7 linked regions of the Callithrix jacchus genome follow. The protein of the gene in region 2 purifies or fractionates together with the protein of the main gene of each other region. This does not show direct contact. Links are inferred from orthologs where the notes say so. Each region holds a gene or a part of one and is shown on either strand. Other genes may lie near its edges. The genes, in order: EP300, PRMT1, CSNK2A2, CHTOP, ALYREF, LSM14A and DHX9.

The links.
Region 1: the proteins of PRMT1 (region 2) and EP300 purify together in Homo sapiens (affinity purification with western blotting; 4 studies listed by BioGRID, with this or other methods). This does not show direct contact. The link is inferred for Callithrix jacchus from reciprocal best matches to the Homo sapiens genes PRMT1 and EP300.
Region 3: the proteins of PRMT1 (region 2) and CSNK2A2 purify together in Homo sapiens (affinity purification with mass spectrometry; 3 studies listed by BioGRID and IntAct, with this or other methods). This does not show direct contact. The link is inferred for Callithrix jacchus from reciprocal best matches to the Homo sapiens genes PRMT1 and CSNK2A2.
Region 4: the proteins of PRMT1 (region 2) and CHTOP purify together in Homo sapiens (affinity purification with western blotting; 7 studies listed by BioGRID and IntAct, with this or other methods). This does not show direct contact. The link is inferred for Callithrix jacchus from reciprocal best matches to the Homo sapiens genes PRMT1 and CHTOP.
Region 5: the proteins of PRMT1 (region 2) and ALYREF purify together in Homo sapiens (affinity purification with mass spectrometry; 3 studies listed by BioGRID and IntAct, with this or other methods). This does not show direct contact. The link is inferred for Callithrix jacchus from reciprocal best matches to the Homo sapiens genes PRMT1 and ALYREF.
Region 6: the proteins of PRMT1 (region 2) and LSM14A purify together in Homo sapiens (affinity purification with mass spectrometry; 3 studies listed by BioGRID and IntAct, with this or other methods). This does not show direct contact. The link is inferred for Callithrix jacchus from reciprocal best matches to the Homo sapiens genes PRMT1 and LSM14A.
Region 7: the proteins of PRMT1 (region 2) and DHX9 purify together in Homo sapiens (affinity purification with mass spectrometry; 3 studies listed by BioGRID and IntAct, with this or other methods). This does not show direct contact. The link is inferred for Callithrix jacchus from reciprocal best matches to the Homo sapiens genes PRMT1 and DHX9.

Annotation. Positions count from the first base shown.
Region 1 is NC_133502.1:191,898,496-191,902,453, forward strand, and holds the start of EP300 (histone acetyltransferase p300), read left to right. Parts: upstream 1-1,158; 5' UTR 1,159-2,383; coding exon 2,384-2,477; intron 2,478-3,958. UniProt on the Homo sapiens protein: Functions as a histone acetyltransferase and regulates transcription via chromatin remodeling. Acetylates all four core histones in nucleosomes. Histone acetylation gives an epigenetic tag for transcriptional activation.
Region 2 is NC_133523.1:43,444,349-43,448,274, reverse strand, and holds the start of PRMT1 (protein arginine N-methyltransferase 1), read right to left. Parts: upstream 2,801-3,926; 5' UTR 2,757-2,800; coding exon 2,721-2,756; intron 2,622-2,720; exon of another isoform or gene 2,440-2,621; intron 482-2,439; coding exon 428-481; intron 217-427; exon of another isoform or gene 120-216; coding exon of another isoform or gene 102-119; intron 1-101. UniProt on the Homo sapiens protein: Arginine methyltransferase that methylates (mono and asymmetric dimethylation) the guanidino nitrogens of arginyl residues present in proteins such as ESR1, histone H2, H3 and H4, FMR1, ILF3, HNRNPA1, HNRNPD, NFATC2IP, SUPT5H, TAF15, EWS, HABP4, SERBP1, RBM15, FOXO1, CHTOP, MAP3K5/ASK1, MICU1 and NPRL2.
Region 3 is NC_133521.1:16,047,686-16,051,185, forward strand, and holds part of CSNK2A2 (casein kinase II subunit alpha'), read right to left. Parts: intron 3,251-3,500; coding exon 3,102-3,250; intron 1,691-3,101; coding exon 1,614-1,690; 3' UTR 1,597-1,613; intron 1-1,596.
Region 4 is NC_133519.1:14,060,070-14,063,569, forward strand, and holds part of CHTOP (chromatin target of PRMT1 protein), read left to right. Parts: intron 1-3,272; coding exon 3,273-3,459; intron 3,460-3,500. UniProt on the Homo sapiens protein: Plays an important role in the ligand-dependent activation of estrogen receptor target genes. May play a role in the silencing of fetal globin genes.
Region 5 is NC_133506.1:137,488,185-137,492,467, forward strand, and holds the start of ALYREF (THO complex subunit 4), read right to left. Parts: upstream 2,801-4,283; 5' UTR 2,795-2,800; coding exon 2,537-2,794; intron 2,051-2,536; coding exon 1,919-2,050; intron 547-1,918; coding exon 399-546; intron 1-398. Other genes in the region: anaphase-promoting complex subunit 11, read left to right, coding at 4,024-4,132. UniProt on the Homo sapiens protein: Functions as an mRNA export adapter; component of the transcription/export (TREX) complex which is thought to couple mRNA transcription, processing and nuclear export, and specifically associates with spliced mRNA and not with unspliced pre-mRNA.
Region 6 is NC_133523.1:30,894,967-30,899,229, forward strand, and holds the start of LSM14A (protein LSM14 homolog A), read left to right. Parts: upstream 1-1,463; coding exon 1,464-1,584; exon of another isoform or gene 1,585-1,867; intron 1,868-4,263. Other genes in the region: uncharacterized protein LOC144580722, read right to left, coding at 1,094-1,465. UniProt on the Homo sapiens protein: Essential for formation of P-bodies, cytoplasmic structures that provide storage sites for translationally inactive mRNAs and protect them from degradation. Acts as a repressor of mRNA translation. May play a role in mitotic spindle assembly.
Region 7 is NC_133519.1:41,075,479-41,079,459, forward strand, and holds the end of DHX9 (ATP-dependent RNA helicase A), read left to right. Parts: intron 1-165; coding exon 166-366; intron 367-2,806; coding exon 2,807-3,158; 3' UTR 3,159-3,481; downstream 3,482-3,981. UniProt on the Homo sapiens protein: Multifunctional ATP-dependent nucleic acid helicase that unwinds DNA and RNA in a 3' to 5' direction and that plays important roles in many processes, such as DNA replication, transcriptional activation, post-transcriptional RNA regulation, mRNA translation and RNA-mediated gene silencing.

The sequences.
Region 1 (3,958 bases), on a different chromosome or scaffold from region 2:
TATCAATAGATAATAGTTTGTGAGTTTCTTTGGGGGTCACTTACACCCATACCACCTTCTCCAGTAACAATTTACACAAGGTCAAAACACAGGGTAATGTGTAGAAACCCGAAAGCATGTCTCCGACCTCAGCTGCAAAACTGCTGGGTCCCACACACTGGACTTTCCCCCCGTTACATTTTTGCTTTTTTCCATCCTTACCTTTACCACATTTTTGCTTTTTCCCATAATTACATTAGATAAGGCACTGGCTTGACGTGGTCTTTTATTAATTTGATCTATTGGGAGCAGACGGAAAAAAAAAAGAAAAAAGAAACCTAAAAATGTCTTCAGGTCCCAGGCGTGTTCAGAAAAGAAAGACTTCTGTGGTGAGAGTGCTACCTGGTAGGGGCGTATGGACGGACACACGTGGAGGGCAAGAAATGTTGGGTCTGGTGCCGAAACATCTTCCTTCCCACTGCTGTGATTTTTGTTTTCTGGTCAAAGTAATATATGCTCGTTGTGGAAAAAAAAAAAAAAAGGAAAATTCAGAGGAAATTGAAAACAACTCGTAATCAACGTGCTTTTTGGATGTGAACTACTCCCTTTGGGAAGCCAATGGAGAAGTGAGGATGCACTGGGTATTCGGCAGTGGGTACACCCTGGCTTATGGATTCGACCGGGGTTTGGGGGACCCGCCACTCAAAGGCCAGGAAGCAGGGCCGCCCCACGGGCGCTCCCCTTTGGCCATCTAAGTGGCGACTTGGCGTCTTCCTCGGCGCAGCTCCCGGGCTCAGTCGCCCAGGTTCCCACCGGTCCCCTACAAGAGACCAAAGCCAGGAACCTTCCCTCGTAACTATCGACCGACAGAAAATAGATTGAGTCCGCCCCCACCCCTCCCCCCTTAAAATCCTCTCCCCTCTTAAAAATCCTCCCCTTTAAAGGGAGCCACAGGGTGTCGCCGGGGGAGTTTGCGGAAGCGCTAACCGCGTTGGGGACTAGGGCGGATCCCGTGATTGGAACCGGCCCCGCCCCCGGCGCCACTTCCCCCATTGTGTGAGCGGCTCGGGCCTAGGCCCCGCCTCCCTTCGGAGGCCCGGCCCCTCCCCTTTTTCACCCCCCTCCTTTGGCTCATTTCCGGCCGCCGCCGCTACCGCTAGCCTGTAAGGAGGATTCGGCAGAGGGAAGAAACAACAGCCGCCATCTTGTTTGTGTGCTAGGTTGGGGGGGAGAGAGGCGAGAGGGAGCGGGCGAGAGTGGGCAAGCGGGACGCCGAGCTGAGTGCGAACTGCGGGAGCCAGAGAGTGCGGAGGGGATCCGGGACGGAGAGAGGCGGCTGGGGCCGAGACAGTGGCAGGGGGCCTGGGGCGCACGGGTTGAGGCGACCCCTAGCCCCCTCCCGTCCGCACACACCCCCACCGCGGCCCGGGAGCGGGGCCGGCGTCGACGCCTAGGGGGGACCATTACATAACCCCGCGCCCCGCGGCGCCTTCGCCCGCCGTCGCGGTCGGCCCCGAGCGGAGCCCCGGGGGGGCGGGCTCTCCCAGCACCTGGCCGCCGGCGGAGGGGACCGTAGCGGCGGCCGTATTTATTTATTTTCCGCGCGAGAGGAGGGCGAAGGAGAGAAGCGCGGCGCGAGGAGGGGCCGCCTGCGCCGCCGCCGGAGCGGGGCCTCCTCGGTGGGTTTGGCGTCGGCGCGGGCGGGCGGCGCTGCTCGGCCCGGCCCCCTCGGTCCTCTGGGCCGGCCAGCTCCGCGCCTGGCGTTCTTGCCGCGCCTCCGCCGGCCGCCGTGCGATGTGAGGCGGCGGCGCCAGCCTGGCTCTCGGCTCGGTTGAGCTCTCTGCGGCCATTAGGGGCCGGTGCGGCGGCGGCAGCGGCAGGAGGAGGGTTCGGAGGGTGGGGGCGCAGGCCCGGGAGGGGGCACCGGGAGGAGGTGAGTGTCTCTCGTCGCCTCCTCCTCTCCCCCCTTTTCGCCCCCGCCTCCTTGTGGCGATGAGAAGGAGGAGGACAGCGCCGAGGAGGAAGAGGCTGATGGCGGCGGCGGAGCTCCGAGAGACCTCGGCTGGGCAGGGGCCGGCCGTGGCGGGCCGGGGACTGCGCCTCTAGAGCCGCGAGTTCTCGGGAATTCGCCGCAGCAGACGCGCTCGGTGAATTTGTGCTCCTGTGCCCTCCTCCGGGCTTGGGCCCAGGCCCGGCCCCTAGCACTTGCCCCTACCTTTTCTATCGAGTCCGCATCCCTCTCCAGCCACTGCGACCCGGCGAAGAGAAAAAGGAACTTCCCCCACCCCCTCGGGTGCCGTCGGAGCCCCCCAGCCCACCCCTGGGTGCGGGGCGGGGACCCCGGGCCGAAGAGATTTCCTGAGGATTCTGGTTTTCCTCGCCTGTATCTCCGAAAGAATTAAAAATGGCCGAGAATGTGGTGGAACCGGGGCCGCCTTCAGCCAAGCGGCCTAAACTCTCATCTCCGGCCCTCTCGGCGTCGGCCAGCGATGGCACAGGTTAGTTTCGGCAGCCCCGGCCTTCCACGTTCCTCTTAATCTTTTCTACTCGGTGCTCCTTTATTCCATTTTTTTTTTTTCCTCTCTCCCTGTCCCTTAATTAATTTTAAAGGTATTTGAATGAGCTGATCGAAGACGTCCAGTAGCCCAACCATTTTCTTTGCCTCCTAATACATTGGTTGCAACACTGTGTCATATCGGTGTGTGTTCTGGAATTAGAGCTCGTAAGTGGGTGCTGTATAGAAATGGCCTGTATTGTTGCTCCCGTGCAGTTTAATTTGGGAAATGCCAGTGCATTTATGAGTAAGAGCTTCTATGCAATTTAAGTTTTAATTTTTTTTGTTCTTGGTAAATGAAGAATTTCGAATCCTTTCTCCTCATTGTACTTACTCTATTTTCTCTACTTTCCACCCTTTTCAAAATTTTCTCTCCTTTGCAGAATATTTTCTGTTAAATAGGATGTAAAAACTTGATTTTTGTGTGTGCGAGGTCCAAGATTTCAGATTAGAAGCGAAGTTTAACAATTGTTTTGTCTTACCTACCCTTCTTAGCTTTTTCCCCCTGCTTTTTCTTATTTGCTGTAAGAATCAATATGGAGTGCAGTTCATCTCACATCTTCCAGTTTTGGTGTGAGACCAAAATGTCTGAAACTCTGGATTTTCAGGTTGTGAGAACAGGGTCATGTTCTTTGTAGTTTGCATTCACTTTATCATTTTAGGAGGAAGAAAAAAGATAAACAATTTTGTGGAGTTATGTACCTGAAAATCAACGTTAGAAGTTGAAAGAGTTCCAGTCAGGAACTACGAACATGAACTGATTATACAAAAGTTTAAAATGTGCATTAGCTTTGGTGTTTTTGTGTTTGTCTTTTTACACTTTTAAACACATTTGGAGATCAAGATTTTTATTTAAAAGCTTTCCGGATTCTTCAGTTCATTCAGTTGTGGACCAGCCCCTTTGTCAGAGAAGTTCAGGGAGACTTCTTCCATCATCCCCTTCATTCTCTTCTTACAGTTAGTTTAATGGTGTTATCCTGATGGGCGAGGACCTTTTCTTTGCTGGAATAATGAAGATGAAGAATGGCTGGCCATCTGACAGCCCACAAGATGTTCCCCTTTACTACGGAGCATCTCTTTAACTCCCTGAGAACAGGCTCAACGTCATCCTTCCATCTGCCAGTGAGAGTGCATAATGGAGTTAAATGTACCCTTTGAGTTTGTAGAGAACTTGGAGAACATGTTTCTAAGTAGGCTTCATTTCAGAGTGAATATGGAAAGACGGAACAAATGCTTTGAATTCGTTGCTTTTATAAGAAAGATGTAAAATGAATTTCAGTTAACCTGCAACAATTGGGAAATAGGAATCTTGCAGAGTTCCTCTATTTAAGGCTTGTAACACTGATTATGCATGTACTTTGATCTGTACCTATTCTATGAAGGTACTGTAGTCTCCAAGGATATTTTTTAGCTGTTTTTTTTCTT
Region 2 (3,926 bases):
ATGACAACCCTACAGCCCCCCAGGAACCCCAAAACCTAACAGCCCCATTTTCCACTTCCACGACCCCCCCCAGAGCACCATCCAGGGGAGCACCCCAATACCTCAGCCACGCCTACCATATCTCCAGTCTCTCTGCCCCCGTCTCTAGCTCAGCCCACAGCTGGGGAGGGGAGGGGAAGGAAAACGGGGGCAGACACAGGGAAGGGCAAAGGGGGGCTGGAGGTGGAGTTAAGGAAGTAGCCTTGATACTGGGGGAGGCCAGCAGGGCCGTGAACCTGGAGGGGTTGCTACTAAGTGTCTGGGGGCCTGGGGTCAACTGGTTTGAAGCAAGAGGGGTATGATTAGACCTCGAGAAAGGGCCAGTGTGTGGCAAGATATACTGATGTGGAGGTCAGGGTGGGGAGGGGTCTCACAAAAGGATATTTACTTCTTCAAGAGGCGGCTGGAGGCTCATCCCATTAGCCAAGGTGGCTACAAAATTCTAGGAGAGAGTAACAGGGAAAAAGGATTAGCTACCAGGAGTGGCTGCAGGGGGCTGGGCGGCGGGACCTGGGCTCTGGCAGGAGGTGGGGTGGGTGGGTTTCCAGCAATTCTTCTTCTTTGTGGGGAGTGGTGGCAAAGGGGGCAAGTAATGAGGTGGGGTGCTTAAGAAGGGATGGGAAAAGTGAGGGGAGAGAAAAGAAAGGGGGTCTCCGACCCCAGCTGTGGCTGGAGAGATGGTGGCCCGCCCCCACGTTGCTCCTCTCTGGCCAGGCAGCTGACCACACACCTCCCCCATCCAGGCCAGGGAAATTGGCACTGGCCACCGCCAGCTGTCGCTCCCCCTCATCACATAATCTCCCCCAGATTAGGTGACACTTCCTGACACACACACCCCTATCCTAGGGTGCCATGAATAGCAGGAGGGAGGGGGGCTGGCAGGCTATGCCCACAGGGCATCTGCCACCTCTGCAAACCAGTCTCTTGTCTGAGAGGATTCCAGAAAAGAGGTTTGGCCCACAGGCACTCCCCCAGAGCTAGTACCCCAGTCCCCAGCTCCTGCCTTGGGCTCAGGAGCCCCCAAACAAAACCAGCGGGAACCAACCCCCTCCCTTACAACCCTCTGCCCTGGAAGATGGAGTCCCAGGGATGATGGGCAGCCCCTGGACTCTCTAAGAATGAGAGGACTCCAGAAAGTGGCTTGGGGAGTCAGCCCATCGCCTCCATTCAGACACCCATCCTAGGCCCTGAAGACCCCTAGGTGCGGCCAAGCCTGAGGCCACCCCTGGGGAAGATATTTCCTCCACCCTTAGAGCCCTGGTGCAGGAGACCGCCAAGGGGGTGGGAAGTCATAGCAGTGACCCCTGGGAACTGCATCCTGAGAGCTGACCTGCCCCTCCAGCCAGTGCCATAGGTAAGGGGTGGAAGAACAGAGGTCCCATCAGATTACATCTCTTCCAGATGTGACCACTTTCCAAGTCTCCAAGAAGGGCCACATCACAGGCCATGACCTACTAGGCTGCAAGCACCCTCCCCCCAGCTCTCCCAAGCCAGCGCGGATGCCTATAAGAAGTGCTGGGGGGTTTTCCCGCGGGGGCCCATTTCTCAATCACGCTGAAAACTACCTCAAGACAATTCCAGCCCAAGAGGGCTTGAAACGCAAGACGGAAACCTCCCCCACATGGCTGAAAGAGAACCCAACCTAACTCGAAACCCTTTCAGGCAGCCAGCCTCAGGACCCCGGGGTTCAGGACCCCCTGGGGGGGGGGTCATCTCCCGCCCTCACAAAGGCCCGGGGGAGATAAAGGGCTCCAGGAGAGGATAAAGCTCTCAGCCTACGTATTTCCCACCACCACTCATTCCCAGCGGATATACCCTCCTCCCTCCCCCGCCCGGAAGAAATCCGACGGTAGGTGGGCTTCGGGACACGCCCCATGAAAAAGATGTTCCTCCCACACACCCAGAAATGGCCACAAGGGGGTGCACGGCACCTATTAATGGGAAAATCTCCACCTAGATGCCCCACAACCACCCAGAGGGAGGTCACAGGGGCATGCCCCATCCCCCAACTCCTAAAGCTCTGGGCTAGGGGGAGAATTCTGAGATGGGAAACGGGGTCGGGGGGACCCCATTCTTTTGTCTTCCTCCAGTGCCTAACCCAGAACGCACAAAACCGGGGCCGCTGTCCCAACAGATGTCCCCGGAGCTCGGAAGGAGGTTGTAAAGGGCTGAGAAGCACTGCCCTTCCCCAGAGACTCCCTACATCTTGGTGGGCCCCAGATCAATCCCACCCCAAGGCGTGTGCCCGCGTCTCCGGGGAGGAGAGCTGGTGGCCTCAGACGGAGGGTCGGGCCCCCTCCCCGCCCCCCCGGGCGCCCCTCCCCGGCCGGGGGCGGGGCCTTTGTCCCGCACGTGGAGCCCGCCAGGCCACCGGACTCGGCACACCCCCTCCCCACCCACCGCGCCGAGGCCACGTGGGGGCCTGGCCGGAAGCGCCCCCAGCCCCCCTCCACGTGGGAGGGGGGATGAGACCCTCCGCTAGGCCGGATGCCGAAGGCCCTTGAAAGCTAGGGAACCGCAACTTAAAACGATATCCCCGGATGCGGAGCGTGCGGTGACCCCGTGTGCGGCGGGCGACCTCTAACCTCCTGTCGCCGACTTAGAGCCCTTTCCCCACCACAGAGCTGTGAAACACCGACCCAAAGCCGCCCCCCTCTCAAGGCGGCGCTTCAAGCGCTCACCTCCATGATGCAGTTCGCGGCCTCGGCTGCCGCCATCTTCACCCGCACCTAATCCTCCTCCGGCCGCCAAGACCCCCCCTTTCTCCTCACTCCCCCGGGACCGTCTTATACCAGAAGGTCTAGGGCCCGCCTACCGCGACCCCGCCGGAAGATTTCATTGGTAAAGGAGGCAGCCCGTCTGAGAATACCGTCTAGTTATTGGGTAGAGAAGACGTCGATCATAGGTCAGGGGTTTGCCAACTCTGGCGCCCAGAGTCCCGCCCCCTCAAGTCGACCTGGGATGGGGAAAACTGCCCGTCTATTGCAAAAAGCGCGACTGGTGATTGGGCAAAGTCTACATAAATGCCCGCCCCTTTACCCCAGCACCGCCTCAAAGCTTCCCGGCGAGCCCCGCGCTAAAGGGGCGTCTCGAAATGCCTGTCCATCACCAAAACGACCCGCCTCCTCATCGCTCCCATTGATTTATCCTAACATGACGTCACGCAGCCCTTGGCCCACCCTCGCCAAGCGGCCGGCTTCAAGGAGAACACGACGATTGGCCCAAGGGTAGTGAAGGAGGCGGGGTTTCAGGCACCACCGATTGGCTCAAAGGAACTCCCACTCCTCGAACACTCGGTGGATTTTCCCAGGCCGGGGAGGGTCTGGAGGAAAAAGGGGGCTTGTGCCCATTCTGGGGGGAAAAAAACTGAATCAGTGAGAGGAAGGGCCTGTCTGGGGTCCCTAAGCAAGTGAGGAATAGGTGTCCGCCTCAACACATTAAATCCTTATATCCTAGCCTTTGACATAATCATTCCAAGTTTGTTTTTTGTTTTTGTTTTTCTTTTCTTTTTTTTTTTTTGAGACAGAGTTTCGCTCTTGTTACCCAGGCTGGAGTGCAATGGCGCGATCTCGGCTCACTGCAACCTCCGCCTCCTGGGTTCAGGCAATTCTGCTTCAGCCTCCCGAGTAGCTGGGATTACAGGCACGCACCACCATGCCCAGCTAATTTTTTATATTTTTAGTAGAGACGGGGTTTCACCATGTTGACCAGGATGGTCTCGATCTCTTGACCTCGTGATCCACCCGCCTCGGCCTCCCAAAGTGCTGGGATTACAGGCTTGAGCCACCGCGCCCGGTCCTGTTTTTCGTTTTTTTGTGATGGAGTCTTGCTCTGTATCTCAGGCTGGAATGCAGTGGTGCGATCTCGGCTCACTGCTGTCTCCGCCT
Region 3 (3,500 bases), on a different chromosome or scaffold from region 2:
ATACTCAACTCTGTAATAAGAGAAGAGTTTCATTTGTATTTTAAGTTCCCACAGACCAAATGACAAAAATAGAATCTACATTTAGAGATAGGACCTGCTACCAATACCAATAAGATTTTATTGGAATATGGAATGTAAACAAATGTTTCAAACAAACAATCTAACCTTATAAAAATGTATGGCATTATTAAATAGTTAATAAAGAAATCTAAAGGGTGATGTGGTAGACACCTCTAGTTCTAGCCTAGGTATGTGAAGTCCCCAGAGCTGTGGCATGGCCCTGCAGCTGGGGTGAGGGGACTGCCTACAAACCATGTTGGTGCTGAGTCCCCAAAATGAAATCAGCCCTATTTTTGTTAAACGAACTCTAGTTTTCTCTGCTATCATGAAGGTTAGCACAATGGATCCAACACTTGCTCCAGGAGCACCACTTTCTTCCCCAAGCCCCTTGTATATTCTCAGTTGCTTATCAGATGATCCTGCCCACACAACTCTAGTACCTGCATGCAAGACAGACTTATCTTTGCCATCACATAAATGTATCATATCAGAACTTACAAATGCATATTACCCTGATTACAGTGGGAAACTGTATCTCATGAGATAAAAGGAAGTGGGAGAAAGTTTTTTTTCCGGTCTTTGTGAAAAAATGCTAATGGGGTATCTTCCTCCCTCACCTTGCCTGAAGACTGACTTTCCAGCTTTAGTTATGGTTGTGAACAAAAAGGTCTCTGTTTCAGAGAGGTGCATTAAAAAAGGCGCACACACAGGGATGTGCTGGGAAGTGGTGAAGTTCTCCTTACAAGGCTGCCAAAAAAAAGGAAAAAGCAACAAAAAAACACCAACAAGATTTTATGGTTAGGCAAATCAACAAAGGTTATAGTGAGCTCCAAGTTATGCACTTAGCATGGAACTTTTGATGATACTGATGGACCAGTTCATGGCATTGCAAGGTTTCATGATCCCTCCTGACATCAAAGAGGACTCTTGTGAAAGTGACTGCAGTTTGCTCCCAAATGAATCCACTTGGAGGAAAACTGCAGGGATGAGGTACATTTCCTGGAGAGCTCATGTCATAAAAAAATACATAAAACATGGATTTGTAAAGAGCTTAAAAAAAAATACTGTCACTGTTTTAATATCTCCTTTTCATAAATGAGGCTGGTGTGTCAGTATAGACTGCTGACATTTCGCTAAAACTTGTGCCTGAATTTCACCAAAGGAAACCCAGACCACAATGGAATAGATAGGAAGTCAGACATTCAGAGCTTGTTGACTGAATGGGTTAATTCAACAGCGGTGCCCTGTTAAACAAAGGTAAATGTACAACAACTCCGAGTCTCTATCTCCCATGCATTCCAAAGGCAAAGCTCCTTTAGATCCTGAACTAGGTGCATCCCCATGCTGCCACAGTGACAGCTCCCTGGAGACTAGCACTGGGGAGTTTCTTTCTTGCTTTTTGACAGACTTTTAGGTCTTTACTCTTCTTTGCATTTAGAAGGAATGATTAGAATTTCTTTTTATCACACTGTAGTTTTCCTTCAAGGTTTGTGTTTGGTTGGTTGGTTTTATTGGCAAGCATCAATGCTGCATTACCCGTCGCTTTCCAGTCTTCATCGTGCTGCCGTCAGACCACTGGAAAGCACAGCATTGTCTGCACAAGGCTGGGACTGCTCCTTCACCACAGGGTCTGCAAGAAAGCAGGAGGAAAGTCAGGCAATCAGGGTGCGGAATGCCAAGAGAAGCCCATGGCGAACCCACATTTTCGACTGAGAGACAGAATGATAGGCAAGCCAGGGTCAGAGGGCAACAGAGGAGCCAGAAATCATGGAATTCCGGCCATACAAAAACCAAACACTGAAAAATAACCAGCAACTGTTATTGCCGTCAACTCTTACACCGCCTCAAAGTATGAACTCGACTGCTAAGAGGCATAGAAACCCTAATTGCCCACTGTTCAACATTTCTACTCGTTTTATTTTCTTTCAATACTAACATCATCTCTAACTCCTAATTTCTTCAAAGCATGTAGAGTAATAAGTACTTTAAAGGAAAGGTAAAAGAGCCATTAGAAGACCAATCCATTTTAAGCAACAGTGCTTTGAAAATTTTCAAATTGAACTATGACATGTATTCAGAAAAGCAGAAAGATCATTAATTACATGCGATAAACATTAATAATCCTAATTTGATCTAACTCAAAGGGTAAAAACAGCTTTCTGAGCCAGATACTGAAAGGGGACATCTGAGTACTCTGGGGCTGAGGTCTAGAAGGCTGAAGGCTTTTAAATTTGCTATCTCCCTCATGCATATGGGTCACAGGTTCAAGACCACAGTGATACATTTTTCAGGCAAAAATTTAGTTAATCTCCAGAGGAAAAAAAAGGAGAGGGAAAGACAGCATATTGATCAAGCCAGAGACAACAACTTTAAGGGTTAAACATTTCCATCTTGATTCAGAAAGTGAACTGAGGTAAGTCTCTCAACCTCCCTGCTCCCCAGGAAGGAGACTGGTAATAGCACGAAGTTTATTTGAAACGCGTCATCAGCGGGGAGAACCATACACATGTGGAACAATAAGCAACCACGCAAACTGAATGTGTACACACTTCTAAGTGAGCAGTTCAGTCAGGATTTCAGTGAAGCCTCTCCATCTATTTTCCTTTCCTCAAATTCCTTTTATCCATCCATCTGTTCATCTCCTTCTTTCAAAATATACAATGGTTATCTGGTTATCTTACTACCTTTAACTAAGTACCAGTTTTCTGAGGGGAGAATTAATCTTCAATTAGGTTTCCACATAAATGTATATATATTTAAGAGCAAATTTTAGATACTTGTGATCTATGAATTCAGAGTGACAGGAAGTAGTCAAACAGCCTGAACTCAAGGGAGATCCAACCAATGAATAAGCAAACAGCTCTGGTTATCAAGAAACTGATCTGCAAAGTTGTCTCAATCATCTACAATTAATGAGACCAAATTCTAGGAATAATCTAATCCAAATACCCTAGAATTCTCCTAACTGATCTCAAAGAGAAAGAGTGGAAGATGTGTTCTCTTTAATGAATCACCCCTGAACACAGTCCCTGGAGACTCACAGAAGTAAGGGTGCTCCATGGCCTCTTTGGCAGTCAGTCTCTGTTGATGGTCGTATCGCAGAAGTTTGTCCAGAAGGTCTAGTGCCTCGGGGCTGACAAGATGTCTGTTCTCACTATGGATAAAGTTTTCCCAGCGTTTCCTTGAATGTCTGAGAAGAAAAATGAAGCATTAGTCATCTGAGACTAAACAAGAATCCTTATCTCCTAGGGCTAAAGCCAACAAAACCTTAGAATAATGCACTGATTATAAGCTTGTGAAATCTCTAACTGGTACTTGACCTACTGCCCCACAGTTACAGCATAGCATCCTGAAACACAATGGTGCTCCATGATTAGATAAACAGAATTAGGTAAAACTTCTATATCTGATTTAGAATCCATGGAACCTCTCTAATTTAG
Region 4 (3,500 bases), on a different chromosome or scaffold from region 2:
TGGAAGGATATGTCCAAGCTGTGGCTGGGCGTCTGGAGGGCGGTGCCATGCGACTGTAAGGGCTTTGGTAGCAATTGCATGGCTGTGCATAAGTTCAGCAGTTAAATATAACATCCTTACACCCCCACCCTGAACCATTGGGCTCACTGACCAAAAATAAACAAGGCTTTCTGCTTCAGCTACCTTAAGCCTTGGAATGATTGGATTCCTCCCTGACTCAGGAAAGCAGCCAAAAGCACCGCCATTTTCCAAGAGTAATTGGAAATTGCTGAAGATGAGTCTTTGACAGATCATTCCAAGGACCTTTCAACAAGAAGCTTTAAGTATAGGCTCTGCAGGAGGTAACCTCTATCCAGAGTAATACTGTTCAATAGAAATTTTTTTTTTTTTTTTTTTTTGAGATGGAGTCTTACTCTGCTACCCAGGCTGTAATGCACTGGTGCAATCTTAGCTCACCGAAGCCTCCACCTCCCAGGTTCAGGCAATTCTCCTGCCTCGGCCTCCCAAGTAGCTGGGATTACAGGCACCTATCACCATGCCCAGCTAATTTTTGTATTTTTAGTAGAGACAGGGTTTGCCATGTTGGCTAGGCTGGTCTTGAACTCCTGACCTCAAGTTATCTGCCTGCCTCGGCCTCCCAAAGTGCTGGGATTAAAGGTGCGAGTCACCGTGCCCGGCCAGAACTTTCTGCAACAATGGAAATATTCTGGATCTGCTATCCAGTACACTAACCTCTAGCCACATGTGGCTGTTGAAAACTTTAAATATGACTAGTGCAATTAATGAGCTTAATCTTTTTTTTTTTTTAATTTAATTTTAGGCCAGGCCTGTAATCCCAGCACTTTGGGAGGTGGAGGCAGGTGGATTACTTGAGGTTGGGTGTTTGAGACCAGCCTGGCCAACACAGTAAAACTACTAAAAATACAAAAAAAAAATTAGTTGGCATGGTTGCGCACACCTATAATCCCAGCTACTCAGAAGGCTAAAGCAGGAGAATCTCTTGAACCTAAGAAGTGGAGGTTGCGGCGAGCAGAGATCATGCCACTGCACTTCAGCTTGGGCAACAGAGTAAGACTCCATCTCAAAAATAAAGAAAATTTACATCTAATTTGGGCTGGGTGTGGTAGCTCATACCTGTAATCCCAGACTTTGGGAGGCCAAGGCAGGTGGATCACCTGAGGTCAGGAATTCAAGACCACCTGGGCAACATGGTGGAACCCTGTCTCTACCAGAAATAAGCTGGGCGTGGTGGTAGCACCTATAATCCCAGCTACTCGGGAGACTGAGGCAGGAGAGTTGCTTAAACCTGGGAGTCATAGAGTTTAGTGAGCCAATACTGAGTCACTGCACTCCATCCTGGGTGACACAGTGAGACTGTCTAATTTAAATAGTCACATGTAGCTAGAGGCTGCCTTATACAGCACAACTCTAAAGTGAAAACAATTATATAGTTAACTTTTTTTTTTTAAGAGACAGGGTTTCTCCATTTTGGTCAGGCTGGTCTCGAACTCCCGTACCTCAGCTCATTCTCCCACCGTGCTAGGATTACACGTGTGAGCCACTGCATCCGACCTGTAGTTGACATCCTTAAGTTTCCTGTGAATATTAAAGGCCAGTATTGGTGGCAGTGAAGGGTTGGAATGGACTAAGAACTTTCCAGCAGTGGACGGATCTCCTTTTACCGCACAAAGCTTGGGAGAATAAATATATGCAGGGTAACTGAAGAAAAGGGGCTTGTGGAATGCAGTCCTAGCCTCATAATTGTGTGTTAATCAGGGGAGTAACAGGACAGGTGTTTATGGATGGTTACACCTACTTATGCTAGATGCATCATGTTTGGTACGTTCCCTACTGATGAGAAGCAATTTATGATCTTGTGCTAGGAAGTTAATAATAATGCTTCACAACATCTTTTTGAGAGGTATGATTAGAAAACACTCACATAGGCCAGGCATGGTGGCTCACACCTGTAATCCCAGCACTTTGGAGGCCAAGGCAGGCACATCACCCGAGGTTGGGAGTCTGAGACCAGCCTCACCAACATGAAGAAACCCCATCTCTACTAAAAATACAAAATTACCCAGGTGTGGTGGCGCACGCCTGTAATCCCAGCTACTCGGGAGGCTGAGGCAGGAGAATCACTTGAACCTGGGAGGTCTTGGTGAGCCAAGATCACACCATTGCATTCCAGCCTGGGTGACAACAGTGAAACTCCATCTCAAAGAAAAAAAGAAAACACACACATACACCTTGGTAGTCACTTATGGCTCGAGACTGAAGGGACCGTAGAATTTATTTTCTTTTATATTGACTGATGGCTTTATGGATAATCAGGTTTGCTAGGACCTTGGTTTTGTTCAGGGCTATTGCTGTTCCTTTTTCCTTTGAAGGAATTTAATTCTCTGAGATGTAGTCTTAATGATTTTCTTTTGAGAAAAAATTCTTTAAAATACTCTGTCTCTGGAGTGTGTCCCTGTCCTCATACATGGCCCTGAGTTTTGTGATTACAGCTCATCTGAATAATTCTGACAAGTTTGGCTGGCACTCTGTGGAGATACATTTGATTTACATGTTTATTTTGAATTTAAGGTCATCATACTATTTTAAAGGAGCTGTTTGCAAGGGCAGGCTTGGAATTAAGGATTTCTAAGAAACGAAAGGAGATTTGACTTTCTTGTGTTTATTTACATCTTAAGGTAAAAAGTGGACCGTCTGGAGATAGATTCTCAGAGGAAAAACGGAGCACACGGGCCTCTTTGAGAAATCAATCTTGTTCTTAAGTCACAAGAACTCAAGTAAACTTGTCGTTTAAGTTTTGCCCAGAGTGTGATGAACTCTTCCTTTGGTGTTTGAGTAAGCCTTTGAAGACAGTGCTAGTTGGTGGGCAGGTATGAATCAAGTCGTATCATTGTCAGCCTGTAGTTCAAAAGCAGTACAATCCAGATTGAACTATAGAAATGTTCTTACTAAAACTTTGAACTGGCAGTGTATGACTTCTGTAGCCAGACTAGTGAGGTAATTTGTGGAGATGTCCATTTCATGAGACCACACTTGAGCTTTTTGAAGTTTCAGCTCTGGATCAAAATTCTGCTTCTTGTCTAACATGTTCCGAGGCAAAGGCTTGCTTCTGGTTTGGGGTCCTTATGACACCACAGCAGGTTTATCTCCCTTCACACCAGCATCTCACTTGCTGCTTTCTCTCTGCACTTTGAGTTGCTAGATCCTGTTGGATTGCTTTTTTGATCTCAATCCCCTAACACCTTTTCTTCCAGAAGAGCTTAAAGCAGCGCCTGGGTAAGAGTAACATCCAGGCACGGTTAGGCCGACCCATAGGGGCCCTGGCCAGGGGAGCAATCGGAGGACGAGGCCTACCCATAATCCAGAGAGGCTTGCCCAGAGGAGGACTACGTGGGGGACGTGCCACCAGAACCCTGCTTAGGGGCGGGATGTCGCTCCGAGGTCAGTGCTGTGTACCCTGATAATTGTCAGGCCCTACTCCC
Region 5 (4,283 bases), on a different chromosome or scaffold from region 2:
CTCAGTCTAGACTAGGTGGGCTGCTTGCTGAGGTGTTGGGGTGCTCGTAGGTGGAGAGGTGTGGGTGACCTGACGAAGAAGAACCGGTACCTTTGTCTTTACGACTACAGCCCCGCACTCAGAGGTGTACTATGGCGGTTCTGAGAAGGCTTCACAGAAGTGAATCTTCCGGAAGGAGCTGAAGGAGGGGAGGGATGTAGCTTGCTGGATGGGGGTTCACAAGAGGTTGGTCCAGATGTGTGGGGCAGCATGAGAGGTGGCAGATGGAAGAGAGAGACAAAGGGGCAAATGCAAAGTGTCCTCAGCCACAGGGGTACCCCATATTCCTACCTGGACAGGTGCCAGCCCCAAACTCCACAAGCCCGACAGTCAGCGTGGGTCCCCCCGCCCACACTCACCATCCAGAGGGACACCGTTATACTGCTTCATGGCTTTCAGGGCGTCTGCCTTCCGCTCAAAGTGTACATCTGCTGTTCCTAAGCTGCGGCCAGAGCGGTCATAGTGCACAGCTGCCTTTTTCAGTGTTCCAAATTCAGCAAAGAGTTCCTGGAGTTGCAAAGAGCAGTTGTCAGAAGAGCAACAAAACTGTGCTCCTTCTGGTGGCCCAGGGACAGGCCCTGGAAGCGTGAGCTGTTTTGGGGGTGGTTCCCTGGGAGGCAGGGCAGTGGTAATGGGAAATGAGGGAAGGGCAGGGCAGGAGGGACAGCAACTTCCAAGAGCGCCTGGGTCTGAGGGCTCCTGCCATTGAGGGGACCTGACAGGTGTACCACGATGCAGGTAGAGGAAGTCGCAAAGCCCACTAGAAAGGGGCACAAAATTAAGCCACTATCCTCTTCAACAAAGGAAAATTTACAACACACCCAAGGGCTGTTCCAAGAAACTGTAAAGGCCAAGATCAAGAGCAAGGGAACTGGTCCGGTATCAGACCAGCTTGAAGGGCCTGTTGACTTGGGAACCCTGACCCCAGCCCCTCCCCCAAAGGCAGATTCTGGCTCACCTTTCCCTCTCCTCCTACTCAAGCCTGCGGCAAAGTCTGAAGTCAAGCGCTGCCATGGAAACTGCCCTGACCTCAGGCAGGCTGGGAGTTGGAGAGGGAACCCAGAGTGTGGGGATACTCCGGCCGCAGGCACACAGCGGGAAGTGGAGTTCACCAAAAGCGGTTTCCAGTGGATGCTAGAAACCACCTTAAAAAAAGTGTTGAGACACTGTGAGTGCTCACTGGCCCTGCTCTGTCCTCCCAAGGCAAATGGCTAGGCTGTGGACAACTGAACCCTGCCCAGCCATCTCCAAAACTGATTCCCAAAAAGCCACTTCTTAACCAGAAAACAACTTTAAATGCCGTTGGGATTCAATTTTTCTTTCTTTCTTTTTTTTTTTTTTTTTTTTAAAAAAAAGCTTTAATGAGTTAGAGAATCAAGTCGCTGACAGGACATGGGGGCGGGGAGTGATAAAACCACAATTTACAAGGTCTTTTTAAGACAATACTCAAGTCAAACAGAGCTAGAAAAACACACAGGCTCCCTCTGCTTTACAAGGTACATAAGGAAGATTCTTTTTGTCACATTAACCCACTAAAACAGGCACTAAATTTAAAGCACAAGTGGGCTGAGTCTAACAGCCAAGAACCACTCACATTTGATCAGTCTTTTTCTCTGTTAGAAACTGGAAGCCCTGGCAGAGGATTTTCACTCACAGAACCCATATTCAGACTAAGAGCAGCAGATCCTCAGGCTAGGCTAGGCTCGCACCTGCCTGCGGACTGACCCTGGCTTTACTGGCGCTAGGTCTGTCCTGCAGCCCTTCAGAGCTGGGAGGGCTCCCTTTGCCAAGGCGGGAAGGGGACTCAGGGCCACATCCCCCAAAATATGATCCGTCCTGTGCAGGGCGAACGGGTCACCGAGAAGCCTTAGTCTCTTACCTGAATATCGGCATCTGACACTCCAAAATCCAGATTGGACACCAGCAGTTTCCCACCCGTCTCCACGCCGGCACCACCCCCGAAGCCACTGTCGAAAAGATCGTGCTGCCACTTGTCAGGAAGCTGTTTTGGCTGAAGGAAAAACCACAACAACAGCAGACCTGTGAGTCTCAGTCCAGGGCTTTCCCAGTCCTCGCGGCGACCCCGGACCCTTCCTCTTCCCGGCCTGAGAGGATCCGGCGGAGATGAGGCCGCCAGCGCTCCCTCCGGCCGCTAAAGCAGCCCCAGGTACGAGGCCGCACGGTCCCACCGCGGCAGCACAACTTCAGTTCCCTTCCACTAACTTCCCGCCGCTGTTGCCGCGCTCAGCTACCCCTCCGCTCACGCCGCCACGAGGTCCCGGCGGCCGGAACAAAGGGTTGAAAAGGGTCTCAGCCTCCGGGCCGGGCCCGGAATGAACGACCTCGCCCCCGCCCACCACCCCCTATGCGCCCTCCCACACGCACCCTCCGGACCTCCGGGCGGCCGCTCCACCAGCCCTATCAGCCAGCCGGGCTCGGCCTTCGCCGCCAGCCTCCCCGGCTTGCCCTCTCCGGTGCGGCCGGCCTCCACACTCACCCTGCTGTAGGGCGCCGGTCGGTTCCTCCCGCCTCCGCCGGCCGCGCCGCGGGCGATGGCCGGCCGGGTCCGGATAGGCCCGCCGCCTCGATTCACTCGCGCGGCGGCCTGCGCCCCGCCGCCGCGGCCGCCTTGGGAGCCGACCCGGCCGCGGCCCCGGCCCCCGCCGCGGCCTCCTCGCTGGCTCCGGTTCAGTTTAATGATGTCGTCCAGAGACATGTCCATTTTGTCGGCCATGGCGGGCGCGGAATCGGGCATCGGCTCGAGCCCGCGCGTCAGCACGCCAGCACGTCACCTCCGGCGCCGCGTGAGGCCTTCCGGTGCTACGGCCTCGGAGCGGCTAGTGATTGGCCGCCTGCGGACCGCAGCGCGCGCGGGACGGGGAGAGACGGGGAAGCGCGTGCGCACTGCCGCGCGGGACTCGGCGGGCGCTGCTGAGGGAGCCGGGCCGTGACTGTGGTCGTTTTTATACCTTCCCGCGCGGACGTCAGCGCTGCCAACGGAAGGGCGGGCAGAGCCGTGCGTGATTAGGTTGGCGAAGGTGCGAGGCCGCAGGGGGTTGGGCGGCGGTCGTTGGGAGTGGGGCATGCGCTCCCCTCCCTCCCCGCCTGCCCCGCCCTTCTGCTAGGGCTGGGGGCGCTGCGGGCGCGGCGGGTGTCCGGGAACCTGCGGGGGTCCTTGTTTCTGCGCCCGCCCGAGGGCTGTGCGCTTGGCTCGGGGCGGGATCCTGCGGGAGTGGCCTCAGCGGGCTGCAGCCGGTGCAGACCTGCTGCGGGTTGCTTTTTGGTTTTTGAGCCGGGGTTTTTGGTCTCCACCTGCAACCTCGAAGTCTCCAATCTCACATTTGCTAGTCATATCCTTTACAAGTTTTGGTACGGGCCCGGCGCGGGGCTCACGCCTGTGCTCCAAACTTTTTGGGAGGCCGAGGCAAGAGGATCGCTTCACCCTAGGAGTTTGAGACCAGCTGGGGCAACGTAGTGAGACCCCCATATCTAAAAAAAAAAAGTCGAAAGTCGGGTGTGCCATTGCACACTTGTAATCCCAGCTGCTTGGGAGGCCGAGGTGGAAGGATTGCTTGAGCTCAGTGAGGCCAGCCGGGCAACATAGTGAGACACTGTCTCTTAAAAAAAAAAAATTAGTCGGGCCGGGCGCGATGACTCATGTCTGTAATCCCAGCACTTTGGGAGGCCGGCTTGAACCCGGGAGGCGGAGATTGCAGTGAGCCAAGAGTGCGCCCTTGTACTCTAGCCTACACGACAGAGCAAGACTCCGTCTCAAAAACAAAAGAAAAGTAAAATAGAAACGGCTTACGATGTTCCTAGGCTGGGTTCGAATTCCTGGGCTGGAGTGATCTCCTGCCTTGGCCCCTTGAGTAGCTGAGACTACACTGTGCCAGGCTTATTCCTATTTTGGTGCCTAAATCTTCTAGTTCTGCAGACTAAATTAAGCCTGTCATCCTCTTCCCTTCGGGTACAGGCTCTGCTGCCATGAAGGTGAAGATTAAGTGCTGGAATGGCGTGGCCACTTGGCTCTGGGTGGCCAACGATGAGAACTGTGGCATCTGCAGGATGGCGTTTAATGGCTGCTGCCCCGACTGTGAGTGTCCCTTCCGCTGTCTGCCTGCTGGACTAGCCTCAGTGGCTCCTGTTAAATATACTTGCAGGAAATCCCCACATTTTCCTTTTTTTTTTTTGAGATGGAGTTTTGCTCTTGTTTCCCAGGCTGAAGTACAATGGTGCAATCTTGG
Region 6 (4,263 bases), about 13 Mb from region 2:
AAGAGACAGACACATACAAATAAGTAAACATACTTGAGAGAGATACATGCTATGAAGAAAATGCAAACTGAGTTAAGGGGATGTAGAGTGATGTGGGTGGTATTATTTTAAACAAGGTTGTCAGGGACGTCATCTCTGGAGGTGATATTTGAGCAGAGATTGGAATAAAGTGTTCAAATACTAGTTGAATTAGACGTGACTGGAACAGAACGAGAAGCAAAATCATGCATGTCCTTTGAAGCAGTCTGGTTTCCTCTCTGTGTAACATGGGATCAGTAGAGTGAGTAGAGAAAGGACATGATCTGAGTTCGATTTTAACAAGTTCTCTCTGGCTGCTGTGTTGAGAATAAACTAGAGGGCAAGGGTTGACACAAAAGCAACTTTTAGAAGGCTGCTGCAATAACTTAGCCAGAGTAATCGCGGCTTGTCGTGCAGCTGTAGGGATGGAGATGAGGAGAAGGGGTCAGATTTAGGAAATATTCTGTAGACATAACAGAGGTGTACTCAGAACAGATGTGGAGGCAAGACAGAGGTCAAGGCTGACTCAAGGCTTTTAGTCTGAGCAGCTGAGTAAAAATGGTACCTGTTACATCAATGGGGAACGGTGGTGAAGGAGCAGGTTAGAGGAGAAACAGGGAGCATGGCTTTGGACCCTTAACGTTTGAGATACCAATTCCACAGAAATCGGAGTTCACGGAATTGATCCAAGTTACAGACTGATACTTGGGATTGGTGAGTTGCAATGGCGATGCAAGCCATTAGGCTGGTTCAGACCAGATGAACGAGCGGGACAGGGCGAGCTGAAAAACTGGGTCCTTTTGAGAGCCCCAGCTCCAGGAGCAACCTCAGGGGAAACTTCCTGGGCGATGGCTGCGGTAATGGAGCCGTGGAAGCTCCACGAGGTACAGGTTCAGCGTCTTAAAAGGATGAGCAGCGACTCGCCAAAGCTCGGAGGCAGGTGGGTGGGCAGCGCTCCAGACGGGGGGCCTCGCGTCGGCAAAGACACGGGACCCACGACAAAGAGGCCGCGGCCTGGGTCAGGAGGGCCGCGCGCCTCCTCTCCAGCCCTCAGCGAGCGGGTGCCACGAGGCACTCAGCAAGTCCCCGAAATTCCTCTCACGCTGCCCCAGGACTGCCGTCGTAGCCCAGGTAAATAGGCGCTGACAGGACTCCCGAAGCCGCCAAGCAGTCGGGAACCACCCGCCACCTGCCAAGTCTCGCGAGGGCGCGGCCTCGCCCTCCCAGCATGCTCCGCGCCGCCGCCGCTGCCGCCGCGGCCGCCGCCGCGCCGCGACTTGAGGGCGGGAGGCTGGGGGAGGGTAGCGGAGCCGGCACCGTCGCCATGTTGGGTCTGAAGCGGCTGCTGTAGGCGCCGACCTAGCGAGCGGGCGTGCGGAGCGGGCGACAGCGGCGTGGGATCTGCCTCTCTGCGAGCGGCCCGGGGCGGCGGCGGCGGCGGCGCCATGAGCGGGGGCACCCCTTACATCGGCAGCAAGATAAGCCTCATCTCCAAGGCAGAGATCCGCTACGAGGGCATCCTCTACACCATCGACACCGAAAACTCCACCGTAGCCCTCGCCAAAGGTACGTGGGACCGGGCCTCGGGGTGGGGGTCGGACCGGGCGCCACTCAAGGCTGCTCCCCGCTCCGGCCCTCAGCCTCCTGGCTCGCTCCTTCCCCTCCCTCCGTGGAGCTCCGGGAGGCCGCTCCCCTCCATTCTCCGGGCCCTGGCGTCGCGGGCCGGACCGCGGCCTCCCCGCGTCTCCCTGGCTTCCGCCCCCCAGGAAGGTCCGCGCCTGAAGCACGGGGAACTACGGGACTGAGTACGCGGCGGGCGGGCGTGCGGGCGGCCCTGAAGTCCGACAACGGGCGGGAGAACACGGAGAAACGGGTCTTCCAACTCCGAGATTCGGGAGTTCTGTTGTCTTAGCACAAAACAAAGCCCGAGTATTCAAAGAATTTTTTCGCCCAGCTTGAGTTCATCGTGGATGCGTTGACTCCACAGCACCCATTTTCTCACTTTATTCATTTCTGTTCGTGGCGATCTTCCTCAGGAGAACTCTGAGTAATGTGCTAAAACTTTGGGTTTGCTCTGCGACGCAGACATTTTCGAAATGCCATCGGTGCAGTGGAGCAGATCCCATCTCCCTCGGCTCATCCTCTGTTGGTATTTACCTGTTAAACCGGAATTCTCAAAGCCTGTTGTGCAACCATCTTCATTAGAGCGTGCGGTAAAAATGTTTGCTGCTTCCCGGACGCCCCTGCTTCTGGAAACGAGTTCAAGCTTGTCCGGGACCCTTCTTGATCCAGGCGATCTTGACCTTTGATCCAGGCTCAGTGGGCATTGACTGAAGGCTCGTTGGGAAAGGGAATTCTGTCGAGAAGGAAGGTGCCCCTACCCATAGTATTAATATTTGGCATCCCTAGAGTCTGTGTGGGTTTTGTTTCCGTTCACACGTGCAGGGCCTTTGCTCCTCCAGGAAAGCAGAAAGAAAATAAACGTTAGCTCCTGAATCTTAAGGAAATCTCACAATAGTGTAAAATATTTTGGGGGAAGCTAGATAACCTAGGTGATTTTCCCAGCGCTTCTGGTAGAGGTGGGAACTGCATAAGCATGCTTAGGGATCCTCTAGATAGGTCATAGGTACAAGGATAAGGAAGATTTTCATAATCTGTAAAATTTTTTAAATCTTTAACTGATAGGGGAGTGGTTTCACGGAATCAAGTATTTCAGGACATTTCTTTGGATGCTTTGGTAAATCCCTTTTTTTTTTTCCTCTCTCTCCTTCCCCTGAGATGGAGTTTCGCTCTCTTTGCCCAGGCTGGAGTGCTGCAATGGCATGATCCCGGCTTACTGCAATCTCTGCCTCCCGGGTTCAAGCGATTCTCCTGCCTCAGCCTCCCAAAGTAGCTGGGATCACTGGCATCCGCCACAGCGCCCTGCTAATTTTGTGTTTTGAGTAGAGACGGGGTTTCACCAGGTTGGCCAGTCTGGTCTTAACTCCCGACCTCAGTTGATCAACCCTCCTGAGCCTCCCAAATTGCTGGGATTATAGGCGAGAGCTACCACGCCTGGCCTCTGGTAAATCTTTTTAACAGCCCTAGTACTGGAACAAATTTTACACCTGGGTAGGGAACCTTGATGTTATAGAACTGTACACAGTAAGGGAGTAGTACGAGATGGCTACAGTTGCACAACTCTGCAGATTTGCTGAAAATCATTGAATTATACACTTTGAAATCACCAAGTCTAATTTTAAAAGTGTGAAAAACCAGGGAGTACCCCTAAATTTCCCTGTTCACCTTGTGAAACATTGTGTTGTGACACATTACCTCATTAAAACAACTGTAGGAGGCCGGGCGCGGTGGCTCAAGCCTGTAATCCCAGCACTTTGGGAGGCCGAGGCGGGTGAATCACGAGGTCAAGAGATTGAGACCATCCTGGTCGACATGGTGAAACCCCATCTCTACTAAAAATACAAAAAATTAGCTGGGCACGGTGGCGCGTGCCTGCTAATCCCAGCTACTCAGAAGGCTGAGGCAGGAGAATTGCCTGAACCCAGGAGGCGGAGGTTGCGGTGAGCCAAGATCGCACCATTGCACCCCAGCCTGGGTAACAAGAGCGAAACTCCGTCTCAAAAAAATAATAAAAATAACTAAAAAAAAAAAAAATAAAACAACTGTAGGCTTAGGGCTTTGTCATCTTTTTAGACATCCACTATACTTGAGGATGTATGATGGTGTTTAGTGGTTATTAAAGACTTTCCCAGTGATACTTCTTAAGTAACTTAGTTTTTGATTGGCCTTATTTTTTATTTTTTAATAGTAGATATTTAGCTGTGTAGTATTTTTCTGGCTTTATGAAATTATGAAAAAGCCTCTATGAAGTTATGAAAAGTGCTGGATCAGAGCCAGATATGGGTTGAAAATAATTTCTCATTAAAGTTGTTTAATAAATTTTTTTTAAGTGTTGCTTTGCCTAATCTGAATTTAAAGTGTCTTGCCAGTTTAGTGACTCAATAAATTGGCTGTGCTATCTTCACGCCTCACAAGGAAAAAAAACATACATTTGAAAATTTCTGAAGTATTTTCGTTCTTTTTTAAAAACTATGAACATATCCTTTTATGCAGGAACCCCAAAAGTCTACACTTTAACCCACATTTTAAAAACTTTTAAGCAGCTTTGAGTCGATAAATATTTCATTAGTCTGTAATAGTTAAATTCATTCGACATAAAATATAAATTTGTTTTTTGTGTCATGA
Region 7 (3,981 bases), on a different chromosome or scaffold from region 2:
ATTTTATTTGACTCGATAGACTTTATGACTTAAGACTCCTGCTTAATAGCTGGCAGTGAATTTTAAGAGGCTAGTGCTGATTATATTATTACTGTCCATATCTGTTTTCTCAAGTTTGGGGCCATTCTAAGTAGTTTTTTAAAGGAATGTTTTTTGCCATTTTAGGATTAAACTACAAATATCTCATGAAGCTGCTGCCTGCATTACTGGTCTCCGGGCAGCCATGGAGGCCCTGGTTGTTGAAGTAACCAAACAACCTGCTATCATCAGCCAGTTGGACCCCATAAATGAACGTATGCTGAACATGATCCGTCAAATCTCTAGACCCTCAGCTGCCGGTATCAACCTTATGATTGGCAGTACACGGTGAGTACCATATTAACTTATCTTTGAACTAAGTAGGAGAGAGATCTTATGTAGGCCTAGAATCTTAGAGTTAGTGATAGAAGTCTTATTACTTAAGTTAAAATTCTAGACAAACACCATATATAGGGAATTTAGTGCCGGCTAACATGCTCAGAATGGTTTTTACTTTTGTCAGTCCCTTGTTAGTAATTGGTCCATTGCATCAGTGAGTGCATGTTGGTAGTGCTAGAAAAGGATCTTACAAGTACGTATATAGTTCAGAATGGGTGACATGACAGGGAAGTGACAGAGCCCACATAGTCCTCTTTCCATGGTACAGTTTTGGCATCACTAAAGAAAAAATACTTATGAGATGTTAAATTGCTTTCATCAAATGTGTATGTGTTTCTGTTTAAACAACTAGAGCATGGATATTTAAGAAATTTATCTTAATTTTTAAAATTTTTATTTGCTTTAGGTTTTTTAAATGTTTCTTTTCCCACGAGTTTTTATTTACAAATACTTAATACCTACCAAAAACTCAGAAGAGTGATACAATGTATAGCCATATAGTCTTTATTTACATTCACTAATCTTCAGTGTTTTGTACATTTGGTTAATTGTTTGTGCTGAAGTAGCAGGCATTATCACGTTTTTCATCAGTACACTTCATATCTTTTGAAACAGCACCACAATACCATAGTCACACCCCAAAACGTTAAGTGTTTAGTAATGCTATAATATACTAATGTATTAAAATTCTTCAGGTTATCCAAAAATGATCTGTAATTCCTCATCAAAAATGATTTATTGGATTTGATCTATGAGCTAGGTAGATTGTTATCCTCATCCTCTTTAAGGAAACTGGGCACAGATGAGTTTAAGACCCAAAGTCATACAGCTAATAACTGATAAAACCAGATTCAAACCCAGATAACATGGCTTCTGAAACGGTGCTCTCATTATGCTATCCTGTGGCCCTTCTCGGTGGTTAAATGTATAATTCAGTAAGCGTCATAGGCAGGCAGATGCAAATGAAGTACTCATGGGTGTTTAGAAGAGCCAGGTGTGGTGGCTCATGCCTGTAATCCCAGCACTTTGGGAGGGTTAGGTGGGTGGATCATGAAGTCAGGAGTTTGAGACCAGTCTGACCAACATGCTGAAACCCCATCTCTAAAAACAGAAACAGCCCGGCCTGGTGGCGCGCACCTGTAATCCTAGCTACTCAGTAAAGAGGCTAAGGCAGGAGAATTGCTTGACTCCGGAAAGCGGAGGTTGCAGTGATCTGAGATGGACCTGCTGCACTCCAGCCTGGGCAACAGAGTGACTCTGTCTCAAAAAAGAGATACTATTTTTGGTAGGATAGCTGGTAAACAAAGGAGCCTTTGTATAAATAATATGTTTCTATGAAGAATAAAAGTCCAGAAACTAGGAAGAGGAAGAATGGGATATATGTAGAGAGTTTGGGATGTATAAATATGATGGTGGCCTGAATTACAGTGGTAGATAGAATTGCAGTGGGGAGATGTGACTGGATTCAACAGATTTATGGTAGAATCAGTAGGAATTGGTGATGGACTAAAATGGAATAGTGCGATGAAAAAAGGAAGACAGATATCAGCTGTATTTCTTTTTTGAGAGGCAGTCTTGCTCTGTGGCCCAGGCTGGAGTGCACTCACCTCTGCCTCCCAGGTTCAAACAATCCTTCTGCCTCAGCCCCCTGAGTAGTTGGGATTACAGGTGCACACTACCACACTTGGCTAATTGTTGTATTTTTAGTAGACAGGGTTTCACCATGTTGCCCAGGCTATTCTTGAACTCCTGGCCTCTGCTGATCCACCCACCTTGGCCTGCCACATTGCTGGGATTACAGACATGTACCACTGCACCTGGCCACACAGCCATATTTCTCACTTAACAGCTGAATTGGTAGTGTTGTTCTCAAAGAAAAGCTGCACAAGAGTAATAAGCAGATTGGGAATCTGTTTAATTGGAGTTGTTGATGGTCCATCTTGATTTCTGCTATTTTTCATTAGCCTTCATTTTCTTTATTTGTCACAGGAAATAGGTAATTACCAAGGACATTATTCAAAATCATACTTTAGAAATAATTCAGGAAAACATTTGGTGATAAAGACCAGTTTATTGGTAGCTGCAGGAACCCTCTCCTAATGCTTGCCTTCTTGGAACTTTATATTGTTTAGCTGAGTAAAAGAAGCCTATCCTAAACTTGAAATGACATACTGCCAAAATTCGAAACCTTTGAGATTGAACCAGAAAGAAATGTAGAAAAACAGATCGATAGAATTGATGATTATTTAGGAATAGTATATCAATTTTATTTCAATTTCTGTTTGCATTTGGCTTAATTCCTTTTATGTATTAAAATTTGAAATACGACATTTGGTGCATGGTTGAGAAATTACGCTTCGCTAAAGTGATGGTTTTGTGCTTTTTCTAGGTATGGAGATGGTCCACGTCCTCCCAAGATGGCCCGCTATGACAATGGAAGCGGATATAGAAGGGGAGGTTCTAGTTATGGTGGTGGAGGCTATGGCAGTGGCTATAGCAGTGGAGGCTATGGTACCGGAGGCTATGGTGGCAGTGCCAACTCCTTTCGGGCAGGATATGGTGCCGGTGTTGGTGGAGGCTTTAGAGGAGTTTCCCGCGGTGGCTATAGAGGCAACTCTGGAGGAGACTACAGAGGGCCTATTGGAGGCTTCAGAGGATCTGGGGGATTCCAGCGAGGAGGTATTAGGGGGGGCTATGGAACCGGCTATTTTGGACCGGGAAGAGGAGGTGGTGGCTATTAAGGCTTGGTTATGTCCGTTCCTGTGTGTAGACAGTAAGAAAAAAAAAAAAGCATGCTATGTGTTACGTGTTTTTTTCCAGTATGTTTATTTGCCACCAAAAAGTAAATGCATTTTTCCACCCATTCTGTGGTTCATTGTAGTTTAAGGAAACCAAACATAGATGCATTAGTGATTCTGTTTATATTATGTAAAATATTACGATCTATCTTAAAAATACCACAGTTTGTATTTTTTCTTTAAGGAGTAAAGATTTGCCTTTAAAAATAACTTGGTATTTTCCTGGCTTTCGTTTAATACAATAGAAAATAAAGTACTACACCGAATACTTGCTGTGGAGTTTGTTTGTTGACCTCACATATTAGAATAATTTTACAATGCCAGTTACATCTGTTCATTTTAAATGTCAGAGAAGTTGTACCCTGTTTCAAAAGTCTACTAAATGATACTACTTGTAATAGAATAAATAACCTTGGAATTGAATTGTTTACTGGAAAGTGCACAAGCCACATAAACCTATGCTCCTGAATAAAAGTTTTGACCTGAACATTTCTGGCTTCCTCCCAAGGCCAGCATTTTCTTTTCTAAGTCAGTTTCCACTATGACAAAGGTAATATAATCGATCCACAGAACTCTTGAATTAAAGGTAAATGAAGCTTCACTGATGTACACATTTTAGAGTTTGGGAGCAGGTGACACATTTATCTACCTTATGTTGCAAAAGGTGTTTGTTAAGCTACTTTGTTTTAATAGAGATGTTTATAAACACTAGTTTCCAGTGAATTTTCAGATTTCTCATTTGTGCAAGATACAGTGGAGGGCAAAG